Saccharomyces cerevisiae S288C: one gene and its partners. The protein of the gene in region 2 interacts with the protein of the main gene of each other region in a biochemical or structural test. Each region holds a gene or a part of one and is shown on either strand. Other genes may lie near its edges.

Region 1 (4,210 bases), on a different chromosome or scaffold from region 2:
GTGACTTATTGCAAGCAATTTGTACGAAATATGCTTACACTTTTCATTAGTAAAAGAACCAACCACCCATCATTAACATCTTTTTATTTTTTATCCTTATCGTGTAAAAAAAACTTAAGAATAGACATCCTGGTGACGCATATCGACGAAAGCACACAACAGCGTCAAAAATTGATTAAAAGGTAAGTTATCATGCCCACACCTATGACGCCTGTCAAGGTCGGCGCTTTAGCCTGCCAGAGGAACTCATTTCTCTTCGATGGGTTCAAAACACTGGTTGTTTCTTGCGAACCAACGAAGAATAAAAAGGGAGAGATTGAAGGTTATGAGATTGAACTACAAGATACTATTCTGTTCCCCGAAGGTGGGGGCCAACCAAGTGATTCTGGTTTTTTGAAAATTGTTGAAGGGAATCGTAATTCGTCGAAAATTGAGAAGATATTAGTTTCACACGTTTCTCGTTTCGGTTTACATGCAAAGCATCATGTCAATGACTACATTGAGCCCGGAACAACAGTGGAAGTGGCCGTGGACGAGCAAAAGAGAATGGATTATATGCAACAACATACTGGTCAACACTTGTTAAGTGCCATTCTGGAACGCAACTACAAAGTAGACACTGTATCTTGGTCGATGGGTGGTATCATCACAAAGAAAAAACCTGTTCTAGAGCCTAGCGACTATTTCAATTATATAGAGTTGAACAGGAAATTGACTCTCGACGAAATAACGAACGTATCAGATGAGATTAATCAGTTGATCATCAACTTTCCTCAGGAAATTATTGTAGAGGAAAGAATCGGTGAAGAAACAGTAGATGAAGTTAGTACATCCAAAATTCCAGACGATTACGACCTCTCCAAAGGTGTTCTACGTACTATCCACATCGGTGACATTGATTCTAACCCATGTTGTGGTACACATTTGAAATGTACCTCTCAAATAGGTTCCATTTTAATTCTTTCCAATCAATCAGCCGTAAGAGGTTCAAACTCAAGGCTCTATTTCATGTGTGGGAAGCGGGTTTCTTTGTATGCAAAATCTGTTAATAAAATTTTACTGGATTCTAAAAACTTATTGAGTTGTTCAGAAACTCAAATTTCTGAGAAGATAACAAGGCAAACCAAACAAATTCAACAATTAAATAAAAGAGAACAGTATTGGATAAAGAGATTAGCACGTACCGCTTCTGAAGAATTAATGAACACACTGAAAGCCAGTGGAAAGAAAAGGGCTTATTTTATGGAAGAAGAATACGGAACATTGGAACTGTTGCTACAGATCCACAAGGAAGTATCTAATTTTTTGAAAGATGATACAGAAGGTTACGAAATTATCCTATGCGGTTATGAAAGACAAACGAACACTGGCTCACTGCTAATTCTTTCGGAATCGGGTGAAAAAATTGCCAATTTGGCTGCTAACTTAGGTTCGATACTACAAAACCTAAAAGGCGGTGGTGGTAAGAAAGGTGGCAAGTGGCAAGGTAAAATTACATCCATTTCGAATGCCGAGTTTGCCGCCCTCTCTGATTATTTAAGCCATGATTTCGCATCATGTTGAGAAATGTGCCATTTGTATACGCAGATTTGTTGTATACATAATGGTAGGTATTTATCGTGATCAAGTCTCAGGAAGTCAATAAGCATGGTCTATTCTTTTCTTTTATGTAGTTTATAATAGGCAACTTTAATGTTCCCAGAAGACGCGTTTTCCATTACTTATTATACCCAAAAAAAAAAATTAAAAAAAAACAACTTCGAACATGCAAACGCAAAGCGAAGGAAATTATAACTTTGACTTCTAACCTATTAAAGAAATACAAACAACCGGCAAGGAGCCACTGATTACCAGGTATTTATGAGTAGTATTGTTAATAAAAGTGGTACACGCTTTGCCCCTAAAGTAAGGCAGCGTAGAGCCGCCACTGGAGGAACACCAACTCCAAAGCCAAGAACCCCTCAACTTTTCATTCCCGAAAGTAAAGAAATAGAAGAAGATAATAGTGATAACGATAAAGGTGTTGATGAAAATGAAACGGCTATTGTTGAGAAACCTTCGCTAGTTGGAGAACGCTCTTTAGAAGGCTTTACCTTAACCGGCACTAATGGACATGATAATGAAATAGGTGATGAGGGCCCCATTGACGCCTCGACCCAGAACCCCAAAGCAGACGTTATAGAAGATAATGTGACTCTAAAACCGGCACCCTTGCAAACCCACCGAGACCAGAAGGTACCGAGATCCAGCAGATTAGCTTCACTGAGTAAGGACAACGAAAGTCGTCCAAGTTTTAAACCGTCATTTCTCGATTCTTCCAGTAACAGTAATGGGACTGCGCGACGTTTATCTACAATCTCCAATAAGCTTCCTAAAAAGATAAGGCTTGGAAGCATTACAGAAAACGATATGAATCTGAAAACTTTCAAAAGACATAGGGTTTTGGGCAAACCTTCTTCGGCTAAGAAACCAGCAGGTGCACACAGAATCAGTATTGTCTCCAAAATTTCTCCACCTACGGCAATGACCGATTCTTTGGACAGGAATGAATTTTCGTCAGAAACTTCTACATCAAGAGAAGCTGATGAGAATGAAAATTATGTGATTAGCAAAGTCAAAGATATCCCGAAAAAAGTGAGAGATGGGGAGTCTGCTAAATATTTTATCGATGAAGAGAATTTTACGATGGCAGAGTTGTGTAAGCCAAACTTTCCTATTGGTCAAATATCTGAAAACTTTGAAAAATCTAAAATGGCAAAAAAGGCAAAATTGGAAAAGAGAAGGCATCTTAGAGAACTCAGAATGCGCGCACGACAAGAATTTAAACCACTACACTCATTGACTAAAGAAGAACAGGAAGAAGAAGAGGAGAAGAGAAAGGAAGAAAGAGATAAACTACTCAACGCTGACATTCCTGAGTCAGACCGCAAAGCACATACGGCGATCCAACTGAAGCTTAACCCTGATGGTACTATGGCAATTGATGAAGAGACTATGGTTGTTGACAGACACAAAAATGCTAGTATCGAAAATGAATATAAAGAAAAAGTTGATGAAAACCCTTTTGCCAATCTTTATAATTACGGGTCGTATGGTAGGGGTTCATACACAGACCCGTGGACTGTGGAAGAAATGATAAAGTTCTACAAGGCGCTTTCTATGTGGGGGACAGATTTCAATTTGATCTCACAATTATACCCTTATAGATCAAGAAAACAAGTGAAGGCCAAATTCGTTAATGAGGAGAAGAAACGTCCAATATTGATTGAATTGGCCCTTCGATCTAAGCTACCGCCTAATTTTGATGAGTATTGCTGCGAAATCAAGAAGAACATTGGTACAGTAGCAGACTTCAACGAGAAACTAATCGAATTACAAAACGAGCACAAACATCATATGAAGGAAATCGAAGAAGCAAAGAATACGGCAAAGGAGGAAGACCAAACTGCACAAAGGCTAAATGATGCTAATTTGAATAAAAAGGGATCTGGTGGTATTATGACAAATGATTTGAAAGTTTATAGAAAAACGGAAGTTGTTCTGGGTACAATTGATGACTTGAAAAGGAAGAAACTCAAAGAAAGGAATAATGATGACAATGAGGATAATGAAGGAAGTGAAGAAGAGCCTGAGATTGATCAATAAGAGACATTTATATGCATACATAATGGATAAATAGCACAACTTTTTGTTGTATTATATCATTTTCTTCAGGTGTACCGCGGCATCAATAAATGAAGCGATGTTCGGAAGAAAAAATTGGCAACGAAAACAGTATTATGAAAGTTACATATGAGGATCGTTCTATAAGCAAAAGAAACAAAAGGATGATATGATTAGTAAAGAGTATGAATTTGGTAAGACTAGTATACTGAATAGAAAGAAGTATACATTAGTTATCGATGAAGACAAGAATGGCAATTTTATAAGATTTACCGTTTTACCTGTATCTAACCGAAAGTTCAAAAAAGTCAAGCAAAATGGGAGGGTAGAGATTAACATGGGCATACAATATCACCAAATTGTACTTATTTTACTACTGAATATTTTGTTCTATGTAATTTGCCTAAGATCAAGATTTCTCGAACATATTAATAGAACTTTTGAAGTGACAATCGCGCGAAGTTTCCAGATCTTAATTATAATGGGATTGTTTGCCTTAGGTACAATTATACTTGTGAGGGGACCTAGTGTGGAAACTGTAACAATT
Region 2 (3,884 bases):
TTTTTAATTTTCAAGGGATTTCCATCCCTTGCGAAGGCAAGCGATCAGTATACGTAAATCTCTAACTAGAACATTTTCAAGTATTGACAGATATGAAAAAAAAAAAAAAAAAAAAAATTCTATATAATTACTTACAGTGCACATAAATGTATGCTTAAACGTCCACCCGTCCCAATACCTCCCATTCTTGAACGGGCCCCACACAGTTGACCACTTTAAACGTTCCTGGGATATTCCAAGATAGCGATGAAGATACGTCAAAATCCCATCTCATTTGCACTTCATTGGACCCATCAGCGTTTCCGGAACCCTTACGTTTCTCTCTTGGAACTAGTTGCACGTCTAGAGCATCTTCAATTCTTTGTTGAACTACTCGCAATGACGCCTGACTTACCGGATGAATATCCGAATAAAGCAATGAGACGTGAGGATGGAATTCCTCGTGCACCCAAGTGGCGGCACGGCTACTTCGCGTCTCAGGATCGATCTCTACGTACATCTCTCTCATGACTTGTGCGACCCCATAAAGTATTTTGTTCTTGTTACACTCGAGCACAATTTTCTTGAAATATTGTTTACCTACACTGCATCCATTGAAAGATACCAAAGGAGCTGCAACAGCATGGGATACCTGTCCCTTACGTCCTTTCTTTGCTGTTTGGTGTGACCTTATCGATTGGATGGCAGCAACACAGGAGGTCAAGATTTTGTTGACATCATCTTTACTATTGCACACCAAATGGGACGTTACCGTCACATGAGGTTCAAAAACTGGTGAATCTGGGAACAACGTTTGAAACGAAAATATAAGCATCTGTAATGTCTCGTAAGCAACTGATCCTTGTGGTGGACAATACCATAATGCTATTGCCATTTTTCTGTGGTTACTGATATTAGCAAATTGAAGTATCGCGAATTCCCAAACTAGAATAATTACAATTGATGGTAAAATAAAATGATAAAATAATCTGATTAGATTCTTGGTATCTCAAAAGTGACTTTGATAACTTCTTGATTGTTTGTGCCCCTGCTTACGAATTGGGTTCTTATTAAACTTCACCTGCATCGCTTCTCCATCGGATCTAACCTAAAAAAAATAAAAACCCCCCGGTAAGCACTTGATCACGCCTACAAAATCACTTAGTGAACAAAGGAAAATAGATTGTTTTTAAAGTTGTGAAGTAGTGAACTATGGCTTCCCACATACACATATATACTGATACAGATGCAATATAACATTTAGTGTTAGAAAAATTTGCTTCTATCTTGATGACATTGAATACTCTTGGACGTAAAAAAAGACATCCGATTAAAGTGGAGGTAATCTACAAGAAAAGTTGTTCTTCCCCTCATTAGAAATCTTGCAATGGTCACGGCCGTCGCTATCAAAAATCAACGAAGTGAAGTGACTCTAATTTTTGTCTATTAATGTTGCGATGGCCTTATTTGCTATTCTAAGGTTTTCGCGAAGTATCAGGTATGATAAAAAAAATCATATTTTTGATCGCATCAAGAACAATCCCAATGGTAAAAACGGTAATAAAAAAGAGTCCATAGTCATATACCAATGCCAGTGTGTAAGAACTGTCACGGAACCGAATTTGAGAGAGATCTTTCCAATGCTAACAACGATTTAGTTTGTAAAGCTTGTGGTGTTGTCTCAGAAGATAATCCTATCGTCTCTGAAGTTACATTCGGTGAAACAAGTGCAGGTGCTGCTGTAGTACAAGGTTCTTTTATCGGTGCAGGACAAAGTCATGCTGCATTTGGTGGTTCTAGTGCTCTAGAATCTAGAGAAGCCACATTGAACAATGCAAGAAGGAAATTACGCGCCGTTTCTTACGCATTACATATCCCGGAATATATCACAGATGCTGCTTTCCAATGGTATAAGCTTGCATTGGCTAATAACTTTGTACAAGGTCGTAGGTCCCAAAATGTTATCGCTTCATGTCTTTACGTTGCATGTAGAAAGGAAAAGACGCATCATATGCTGATCGACTTCTCTTCAAGGTTACAGGTGAGTGTGTATTCCATAGGAGCCACATTTTTGAAAATGGTAAAGAAATTACATATCACAGAATTGCCGTTAGCGGATCCTTCCTTATTCATTCAACATTTTGCCGAAAAATTGGATCTTGCTGACAAGAAGATCAAAGTGGTAAAAGATGCCGTAAAATTGGCTCAAAGAATGTCCAAGGACTGGATGTTTGAAGGACGTAGACCTGCAGGTATTGCCGGCGCATGTATTCTACTAGCTTGCAGGATGAATAATTTGAGAAGAACTCATACAGAGATCGTCGCAGTTTCACATGTCGCCGAGGAAACTTTACAGCAACGGTTGAACGAATTCAAAAATACAAAGGCTGCTAAACTTTCAGTTCAAAAATTTAGAGAAAATGATGTGGAAGACGGTGAGGCTAGGCCTCCCTCCTTTGTGAAGAACAGAAAGAAAGAAAGAAAAATAAAGGACTCTTTAGACAAAGAAGAGATGTTTCAAACAAGTGAAGAAGCATTGAATAAAAATCCAATTTTGACGCAAGTATTAGGAGAACAAGAACTGTCTTCCAAGGAAGTCCTGTTTTACTTAAAACAATTTTCAGAAAGAAGGGCCCGTGTTGTGGAGAGGATTAAGGCTACTAATGGTATAGATGGTGAAAATATATACCATGAAGGTTCTGAAAACGAAACAAGGAAACGCAAACTTTCTGAAGTTTCTATCCAGAACGAGCATGTTGAAGGGGAAGACAAAGAGACGGAAGGGACTGAGGAAAAAGTCAAGAAGGTAAAGACAAAAACATCAGAAGAAAAGAAAGAGAACGAATCTGGGCATTTTCAAGATGCCATTGATGGTTACTCTCTAGAAACAGACCCATATTGTCCTCGCAATTTACACTTGTTACCCACAACGGACACATACCTTTCGAAAGTTAGTGACGACCCAGATAATTTAGAAGATGTTGATGATGAGGAGTTAAACGCGCACCTATTAAACGAGGAAGCTTCTAAATTGAAGGAAAGAATTTGGATTGGTCTGAACGCAGATTTCTTACTTGAACAAGAGAGTAAACGTTTGAAACAGGAGGCAGATATTGCCACAGGTAACACATCAGTGAAAAAAAAACGTACGAGACGTAGGAATAATACTAGAAGTGACGAACCTACAAAAACTGTGGATGCAGCAGCAGCTATCGGATTGATGTCAGACTTACAAGATAAGTCTGGTTTACACGCTGCATTGAAGGCAGCTGAGGAAAGTGGTGATTTCACAACTGCTGATAGTGTCAAGAACATGTTGCAGAAGGCAAGTTTCTCCAAGAAGATTAATTACGACGCCATTGACGGTTTGTTTAGGTAACGTTTAGGTAATCAACCCTAGGAAGGAAAAAGGGAACGGAAATAAAGACGCAATACATTTGGTTTTGGCTAAAATATATAGAACATGAAGTGCAAAAGAATTAAAGGTGCATTAACTATTTAATATGTATGTGATTATATAAATCTAAAATCTCAATGTCGTAACAATCACTGTTCCATTAAAAAAACGGGTAAGGTGGAAATTTCAGTTTTTTTTTTTTTTCTTTTCTTTTGCTTGATCGGCTAAAAAATGAAAATTTTAAACTCATCTCATCGCAGATAACCATAACACGCTTAACAGATAGAACGTTCTACCACTAAAAAAACATATCAAACGTCACTTTTTTGAATAAGTAATAATAGTTAAGGAGGAAGCACAAGACGCACTGAATATACCAATCAAGGGCATCAACAATGGGTAGAAGAAGTAGAGCAGCTATGCTCCCAACAAATATCATTCTTTTACAGAATTTGGTAAAGCGTGACCCAGAGTCCTATCAAGAGGAGTTTCTTCAACAATATGCACA
Region 3 (2,641 bases), on a different chromosome or scaffold from region 2:
TTTTTGAAAGCTTTAATATGTTTATAAGTTAAATATTGTCGAACTTGTTTGCGACAGCTCTTGAAGTCACGGTGCGTCTTTTTTTACTCGTCAACTGGTATAACAATGCGTATGACAATTATTATATAACTATTACTTTATTCTTGCCATGAAGGGATTACTGTAACGCCCTCAACTAGTATACCCTTTTAAGCCTCGACAAAAATACAGAATAAACAAAAGTTAAATCTCACCGAAGTTGCTTGTGGTACTGGCTTTACAGACGTTTATAACGCAGCACTAAATTTCCAAATAATAACCTTCCTCCAATGGAAATAAAAAAAATCGAGACTAACCCAAAGTGTGCGCAATAAACTCTAAAAAATAAAGTATATTCTTGTAAATATTTCTATATGCTTAAGTTCAATAATACATGCATACTCATTGAACATGTTATATTGTTACACAACAAAGTAATTTCTGTTTTTCGGAAGTGCCAGTCCAAATCAATTCAAAGCACTGTACACTCATGCGTAGCCAGAGATGATCTCTAGCATTTCCTCAATTGTTTTTTCGTCAAATCTTGCATCACACTCCTCCACTATGGAGTAAAGGTGGACCATATTGGCAGGAAGTTGATTGACAATCTGCAGTTTTTCAGCCTTGAATAATTTAAAAGAATTCAGTTTAGTCATCAACTCAGCAAAGCTTTCATCGCTCATTTTGCTTATACCCGATTTTTCAGCATCTTTTGCACCACTGCTTTCTCGTTCCTCGCCTTCATCTTCCTGGTTGATAAAGTTTTTGTTTATACTGAGATAGTTAACCACATTGCGAGTAATACCTTGCAATTCAGGATGATTGTAGGGCCTATTCTGCTTACCTTTCGAGCGACTTTTCTTCAGCGCAGCCAAACTTTTTTGGTCCCAAAGATGTTTTTTTTCTAGATCTGTTAGGAACTTCAAGACTTCATAGTCACTTAAAAATGCATTCCTTTCCTCAAGAACTTTCATAACGTTTAAAGTTTTTTGTTTAAGTGTCGATTTTTTCAGTGGTGGGTGTTGGATTCACTCAACTTCTCTTCTACTGTGGCTGTTATTTGCTTAACTTTCATAGATCGATGGCATTGAAAAAAATAATTTTTCAGGCAATTTTCCTTTTTTTACTTGGTATAATTTTCAGGAATTGAAGGATTTTTCAACGAATTAGCCTTGTTGGCGCAATCGGTAGCGCGTATGACTCTTAATCATAAGGTTAGGGGTTCGAGCCCCCTACAGGGCTAATATTTTTTTCTTGCCCACTTATTCAAGGAATAAGTGCTAATTATCTTTCAACCTTGCAGCGAAGCTTTCTTTTGTATTTCATCTCATAGAAGGTGAAATATCACACTATTTTGTAAATAGAAATAGTATATGTAGTTCGTGGAGAACCAGACTGCAGACTATCAATAAAAGGTTACATTCTGTTCAACTCATGTGACCAGAAGTTTGATTAAGCAAAATTGTTCTTCTCCTTAACATATGATATTATCTGAAGGAATCTAGAAAAGCTTGATCATTCCGCAGAATAACCTATCAAAATGATTGGGAGGACCATTTTATAATTCATGCTACATATATAACATTATACAGTAAACCCTTTTAATGTAATGGATTGCTCATAGTTGTGTACACGAACTGTTTGCTAATAAGCTTGTTTTAGCTTCTATTGCTAAAGAAATTACTGACGAAGAGTTTATGACAAGGAAAGATGAACGAAAGTACAATTTACCGGTTAGTGTCAGCGCCAAAGGATCCACGCACTAGCAAAATAATGAAAATTGTGCCGGATATTCAAGACTAAGAGATGTACAAGTTGAAATATAAGTAACCCTCGGCATAAACTACTCTGTCGTAAGATCATTAACATGTCGATTTGCCTGTGACATTTAACGATTCACAAATAGCGGAATTAAATGATACTTTATCTATCCTAAAACGCACGAAGCATACTTTAGAATGCATGCTCTTAGTAAGTATGCATTGCCGACTTCTCTGTAAGACTTTTATCTCGTTTCAGACCTAATCTGCAACAAGAGAAAGGGAAGAGGACGGTATTGTTACGACGTTATTGGCGGCTAGGAAAGAGAGAATCACCATGAACGATATGGTGCAAAAAAAATAAAAAAATAAATTGAAACGGACAGGAATTGAACCTGCAACCCTTCGATTGCAATCTTATTCCGTGGAATTTCCAAGATTTAATTGGAGTCGAAAGCTCTACCATTGAGCCACCGCTTCAACTTTTGTTGAAAATTTAGGCTAACATTTTCTAATAGGTGACATTACAAAATCCAGTCTTACAGTTATGCTTAATATTGACCAGTAGTCATATTACTGGCATATTATCTGTTAGAATAGTGACATACTATTCTTTATTACTGATGAATTTGTAATTGTGAAGCAATTAGACGCAAACGTCATTGATGTGTCAGGATGGAGAACGATATAGACTATGTGATAATGTAAAGTTAAATATCTGTTACTTGAACAATTAACTTGACGTTTGTATATGTAAGGATATGGGTCATTACATAGAAACTATAGTAAATAGTCTCAGTATTGTTATATTTGTCATGTTTGATATGACTAATCGGCGCATGTTTTACACCTCTTTTGTATAG
Region 4 (5,946 bases), on a different chromosome or scaffold from region 2:
TTGAATGATGTAGCTTGGAATAAAACACCTTTAGGTTCTTATGTTGCAGTACAACGTGAAGTTAAGGAAGAAAAGGCCAGATTAATGAGAGAAAGTATGGAAGAACAAGACAAAGAAAGAGAAACAGAAGAAGCAAAATTATTAAACAGTCTGGAAAGTGATGATGACAACGAAGATGTTGAAATGTCAGACGCTTAACAACTCAGCAAGATTTGATTTTTTGTCTTGAATTCAATAGTTAAGTCTATAAATGTGTAAAATAAAGAAAAGTCTTTTTTAAAGCGTATATATCATTGTGCTCACATGTGCTAACATGTGAGCACTCCAAGCTTTCTCTTGTCAGCTGGATATTTTTATATTTTGGCCGGTTTATGGATAGAAAACACGTCAAACGTTCGATGGATCTTATAAAAAGTAATGATGTAAAGCAAGGTACAAAAATGAAAGAAGTACGGTTTACTGTTATATAATTTTCGAAATCGTTCAACTCTCTTAAAGTTCCTCACGAAATAGATATGATTGCTAACATAACGCAAAATTTAGTACAAGATATATGATTTCTTACTGCTGGAAGATATCTTCCAATCTTAATCTTGGGGCTATGTTCATGGATAATAATTCCTGGAATAACAGTTTTGCTGCATATGGAATAGTCATCTTAATAATATTCTCAGCACTTTTGCAGGTAGTACACCAACCACTATAGCCCATTAATCCACATTTATCGCAGACATCAACTTCAAAAGCATCTGAACTAATCATCAACCTTTCTAACAGCAATTGTGAAGCACCATACGCGATTACACAATCCCTCTCCATCTCACCCAACCTCAGACCACCATCTCTAGATCTACCCTCAGTTGGTTGACGTGTCAAAACAGCCCTTGGACCACGAGCTCTTGCATGCATCTTATCTAAGACCATATGCTTTAACTTTTGATAGTAAATGGGGCCAAAAAAGATGTAAGCCTGTAAACACTCACCTGTTATACCTGAATATAACATATCCTTACCGGAATAGTTGAAACCTTGGTCTACCAAAATCTTAGACATATCTTCAAGTTTAGAACCACCAAAACAAGTACCATATTCCAATGTACCATTCAATACACCAGCTTTACCCGATATCAGTTCGATCATTTTACCCACAGTCATACGAGATGGAAAACCGTGAGGGTTCATGATAATGTCTGGAACTATACCTTGATCGTTGAAGGGCATGTCTTCTTGCTTTACAATAATACCACAAACACCTTTTTGACCATGTCTAGAAGAAAATTTGTCACCTAATTCTGGCCTTCTGTTTTGTCTTAGCAAAACTTTGATTAAAGCTTGATCGTTATCCGAAACAGACATCATAACTTGGTCAATGTGAGAAGGTTCTGGACCTCTATATATTACCGGAGCTTCCCTATATTGAGTTTGGACGTTTACGTTGTTTGGGTTTGGGGCGTCTGCTGAGTTAGTTGGAACTGACTTATTTATATAAATTTGTCCACTTTGGACCTTCATACCCACCTCACCTAGACCATCAGGACCAAGAGATTGATGTTGCCAGATAGGATCTCCATTTTCATCAACTCTCATACCACCGATGATATCTTGGGTATGGTTCGCATATCTTTTCAAAACAGTGGTTGTCTTTCTACGTGTTTCGCAACGGCCGAAACCTCTATCGATGGATGACTTATTCAAAACCAAAGCATCTTCAATATCATAACCAGAATAGGACATGACAGCAACCGTAGCATTTTGACCAGCAGGTAATTTATCATAATCGATCAATTCAATTGTTTTGGTTTTCACCATTGGCTGTTGTGGATAAGTCATCAAGTATAATAATGTATCTATTCTCTTGAATTGATTGTAGGCGATTGCACCAATCGCTTGCTTACCCATCGCACATTGATATGTGTTACGAGGGGATTGGTTATGATGTGGATATGGAATTAAACCAGCAACAGCACCTAAAATTGTGAATGGCTCGATTTCTAAATGTGTCATCGAGGGAACTATATCTTTTTCATACAATGCAATGTAAGAATCGTTTTCTTCATTGACATCTAAATATTCCACCAATCCGAGTTTCAAAAAATCATCGAAATCTAACTCACCATCTAATAATTTGCGTAAATGAATATCTTTCACGCGAGATTGACCATCAGAAACAATGATTAATGGCCTACAAATTCTACCACCATCTGTTGCAATATGAACTGCCATTTGGTGAGAATTTGAATAAATTGAGATAAACTCCGACACTTTACCTGTTCTTCTCAGATGTCTGAACTGAGTAACGAATTTTGTTGGGAATCTGATTGAACCAATTAAAGTACCATTCAAATAAACACCATAGTTTAAATGCAAGGATGCACTGTCAATCAATGTTATGTCTTCTACACCAAGAACATAACATAATTTCTTTATAGGTTCCTCTTCGTCATCTGTAGTAATATGAGTCATTAATGCTAAATTTTTCACTAGACCACACGCCTCACCTTCTGGAGTATCTGCAGTACAAAGCATACCAAATTGAGAAGGTTGTAATGCTCTTGGACCGGAAACTTTTCTTGATTTTTCAAACTGAGAAGAAATTCTTGTCATCATACCCAATGCGGAAATATAAGATAGTCTGGAAAGAACATGTGTAACACCCGCTCTTTCCATCTTAAATCTTTTAAGAGACCAATTACCGGTTGAGATAGCTCTGTTCAGTCCGCTGGTGATGTTATTTGAATGGACGTTAATTGACAATAATGCATCGTATTCCATAGCCCTATTTGGTTTTTTCAAGACCTTATCAATGCTTAGTTTAAAATCATTATTAAACTTTTTGAACAAATCTTCGAACAATAAAGAAATCAATTGGCCTGCTAATTCAAGACGTTTATTACCAACATAATCTCTATCATCAATCATCTTAGGGTTATACATTGCCATCACCACCCTGCGCGTCATCATGGCAATATATAAAGCCTTTTCTCTAAAGTCAAGGGCTTCCACAGTCAAATGTGCAATAACCGTGGTAGCAATGGCCTCTATACCCTCTTGCAGGATAGTCAGTTTTTGCCTTCTCATTGTCTTTACTTTTGCACCAATATACTCTAAAGCTTGCTGTTGTGTGTAAATATCTAATTTCGAAGATTCTTCCAAATTGACTGCAAAAATATCTTGGTAGCTACTATCATTACCGCAAACCAATTGCATAATTTCTAAATCTGATAAAATACCACAGGCTTTGAGAACAATAGCAATAGGAATTTCTTCAGCGATGGAATTGTGCTTCAAATAGATCTTGCCATTTTTGGTAATGACATAAGTCTTAGATTTTCTTTCATGGGTAGATGAAGTAACGGAGGCCTGAACAATGCCTTTCTTCTCATCTGCCTCCACAATAATACGATTCTTGGATAATTGTTCTTGAACAAGAATTACTTTTTCGGTACCGTTAACAATAAAGTAACCACCAGGATCCAACGGACACTCGTTTAATTTAGCCATTTTCGATTCATCAGCATCATATAGGATACATTTATTAGATCTCAGCATGATCGGCATCCTACCAATTTCCACGTCTTTATGCATAATAATGTTTCTACCTCTAGTGTATTCTATATCCACGTAGATTGGTGCAGAGTATGTCATATCTCTAAGCCTACACTCATGAGGCGGAGTCAAATAATCTTTTGTCGAAGAAGAGGACTTCTTACCCACTCTAATATCGACGTACTTCAGGTAGAATTCTGGATCAACATCACTCAAAATTAATTGATTTGCCTTTATAATTTTTTTTAAATCTGTATCAACGAAGTAGTTAAATGAGTCAAGATGTTGCTTCACCAAACCTTTAACCTTCAAGAATGCTGGTAAAAGGTGCCACTTATCCTGAGCAGTATTGATTTCATCAGTTAGTTTCTTACCTTTATATACTGGTTTCAATAAATCATCAAAAGCCTCGTCTTTCACATGCTTATGTATATGAGTTTTCCGTCTTTTTGTCGCAGCAACCATTTTTCAACAAGCACTAAGTCCCTAGCGATTAAAACGCTCAATTATCAACACTTTAAACTCCCTTTAATTCTTTCCTAACTTGTCCATATATCATCACTTAAGCATAGATCGAAAAATTTTCAGCTCATCTCACAATTACAATTTCGTCCGACGTGATCTGGAAAATACGCGCCTGCTTTATGGAACTATTTATATCTTTATGTGTAGTACACCTAACAATAAGGAATATATAAAAATAATGCACCTATTAAAACCTTTGGGAAGTGCCAACTTTGAATCATCATCTTTCTTTGAACACCGCGCTGCGACCTTTGACAAGAAAGACGAGATCACTCAACCTGACAGACCCGATTCCCCTGGTTCCCCTCTTCCGCTTTGCACAGCCCTTTTCGCTTAGTTTGGAAGCCTAGGTCCGATCCCCAGTGCTATTAATAGTTTACAATAAAATAGGATCGACGTTGCTATTGATGGATCGCATAGCACAGCAATATCGTAATGGCAAAAGAGACAATAACGGCAATAGAATGGCTTCTTCCGCTATATCGGAAAAGGGCCACATACAAGTCAATCAAACTAGAACACCTGGTCAAATGCCCGTCTATAGAGGTGAAACTATAAATCTGTCTAACCTTCCCCAAAATCAAATTAAACCGTGCAAAGATTTGGACGACGTTAACATACGGCGGAACAACTCTAATAGGCATTCTAAAATACTTTTACTAGATCTGTGCGCTGGCCCCAATACCAACTCATTTTTAGGCAATACCAATGCTAAGGATATCACAGTTTTATCGTTGCCGCTACCCAGCACTTTGGTGAAAAGGTCGAACTACCCGTTCGAGAACTTACTAAAGAATTACCTTGGATCTGATGAAAAGTATATTGAGTTCACAAAGATCATCAAAGATTATGATATTTTCATTTTCAGTGATTCGTTTAGCAGAATTTCGAGTTGTTTAAAGACAACTTTTTGCCTCATTGAGAAGTTTAAAAAGTTCATCTGCCATTTTTTTCCATCTCCTTATTTGAAATTCTTTCTTCTCGAAGGCTCTCTGAATGATAGCAAGGCCCCCTCATTAGGAAAAAATAAGAAAAATTGCATCTTGCCCAAATTGGATTTGAACTTGAATGTAAACTTAACTTCAAGGTCAACTTTAAATTTAAGAATAAACATACCTCCACCCAATGATTCAAATAAAATATTTTTACAGTCTCTGAAAAAGGATCTAATTCATTATTCTCCTAATTCTTTGCAAAAGTTTTTCCAATTCAATATGCCTGCTGACTTAGCACCTAACGACACGATTTTACCGAATTGGCTAAAATTCTGCTCCGTAAAAGAAAATGAAAAGGTAATATTAAAGAAACTCTTTAACAATTTTGAAACTTTAGAAAATTTTGAAATGCAAAGATTAGAGAAATGCCTGAAATTCAAGAAAAAGCCTTTACATCAAAAGCAGCTATCACAAAAGCAGAGGGGTCCGCAATCCACGGATGATTCAAAATTATATTCTTTAACTAGTTTGCAACGACAGTATAAAAGTTCTTTGAAAAGCAACATACAGAAAAATCAAAAGCTAAAATTAATTATACCAAAAAACAACACATCTTCTTCGCCATCACCATTATCTTCCGATGATACTATAATGTCACCAATAAATGATTACGAACTTACTGAAGGAATTCAGTCTTTTACTAAGAATAGATATTCTAATATCTTACCTTACGAACATTCAAGAGTAAAGTTACCTCACTCCCCGAAACCACCTGCAGTTTCTGAAGCATCCACAACCGAAACTAAAACAGATAAGTCATATCCGATGTGTCCCGTAGATGCAAAAAACCACTCCTGCAAACCGAACGACTATATCAATGCGAACTATTTGAAGCTCACGCAAATTAATCCTGATTTCAAGTATATTGCTACCCAAGCTC

The links.
Region 1: the proteins of BRF1 (region 2) and BDP1 form a complex in vitro, tested with the Saccharomyces cerevisiae proteins (4 studies listed by BioGRID).
Region 3: the proteins of BRF1 (region 2) and RPC17 form a complex in vitro, tested with the Saccharomyces cerevisiae proteins (one study listed by BioGRID).
Region 4: the proteins of BRF1 (region 2) and RET1 form a complex in vitro, tested with the Saccharomyces cerevisiae proteins (one study listed by BioGRID).

Annotation. Positions count from the first base shown.
Region 1 is NC_001146.8:553,188-557,397, forward strand, and holds BDP1 (transcription factor TFIIIB subunit BDP1), read left to right. Parts: upstream 1-1,860; coding exon 1,861-3,645; downstream 3,646-4,210. Other genes in the region: YNL040W (putative alanine--tRNA ligase), read left to right, coding at 193-1,563; phosphatidylinositol N-acetylglucosaminyltransferase GPI15, read left to right, coding at 3,833-4,210. UniProt on the Saccharomyces cerevisiae protein: General activator of RNA polymerase III transcription.
Region 2 is NC_001139.9:981,956-985,839, reverse strand, and holds BRF1 (transcription factor TFIIIB subunit BRF1), read left to right. Parts: upstream 1-1,567; coding exon 1,568-3,358; downstream 3,359-3,884. Other genes in the region: CPD1 (2',3'-cyclic-nucleotide 3'-phosphodiesterase), read right to left, coding at 155-874; SDA1 (Sda1p), read left to right, coding at 3,772-3,884. UniProt on the Saccharomyces cerevisiae protein: General activator of RNA polymerase III transcription. Interacts with TBP. Binds to Pol III subunit C34 and to the TAU135 component of TFIIIC.
Region 3 is NC_001142.9:413,779-416,419, forward strand, and holds RPC17 (DNA-directed RNA polymerase III subunit RPC17), read right to left. Parts: upstream 993-2,641; coding exon 507-992; downstream 1-506. UniProt on the Saccharomyces cerevisiae protein: DNA-dependent RNA polymerase catalyzes the transcription of DNA into RNA using the four ribonucleoside triphosphates as substrates. Specific peripheric component of RNA polymerase III which synthesizes small RNAs, such as 5S rRNA and tRNAs.
Region 4 is NC_001147.6:729,447-735,392, forward strand, and holds RET1 (DNA-directed RNA polymerase III core subunit RET1), read right to left. Parts: upstream 4,012-5,946; coding exon 562-4,011; downstream 1-561. Other genes in the region: mRNA-binding ribosome synthesis protein NOC2, read left to right, coding at 1-198; tyrosine protein phosphatase PTP2, read left to right, coding at 4,479-5,946. UniProt on the Saccharomyces cerevisiae protein: DNA-dependent RNA polymerase catalyzes the transcription of DNA into RNA using the four ribonucleoside triphosphates as substrates. Second largest core component of RNA polymerase III which synthesizes small RNAs, such as 5S rRNA and tRNAs.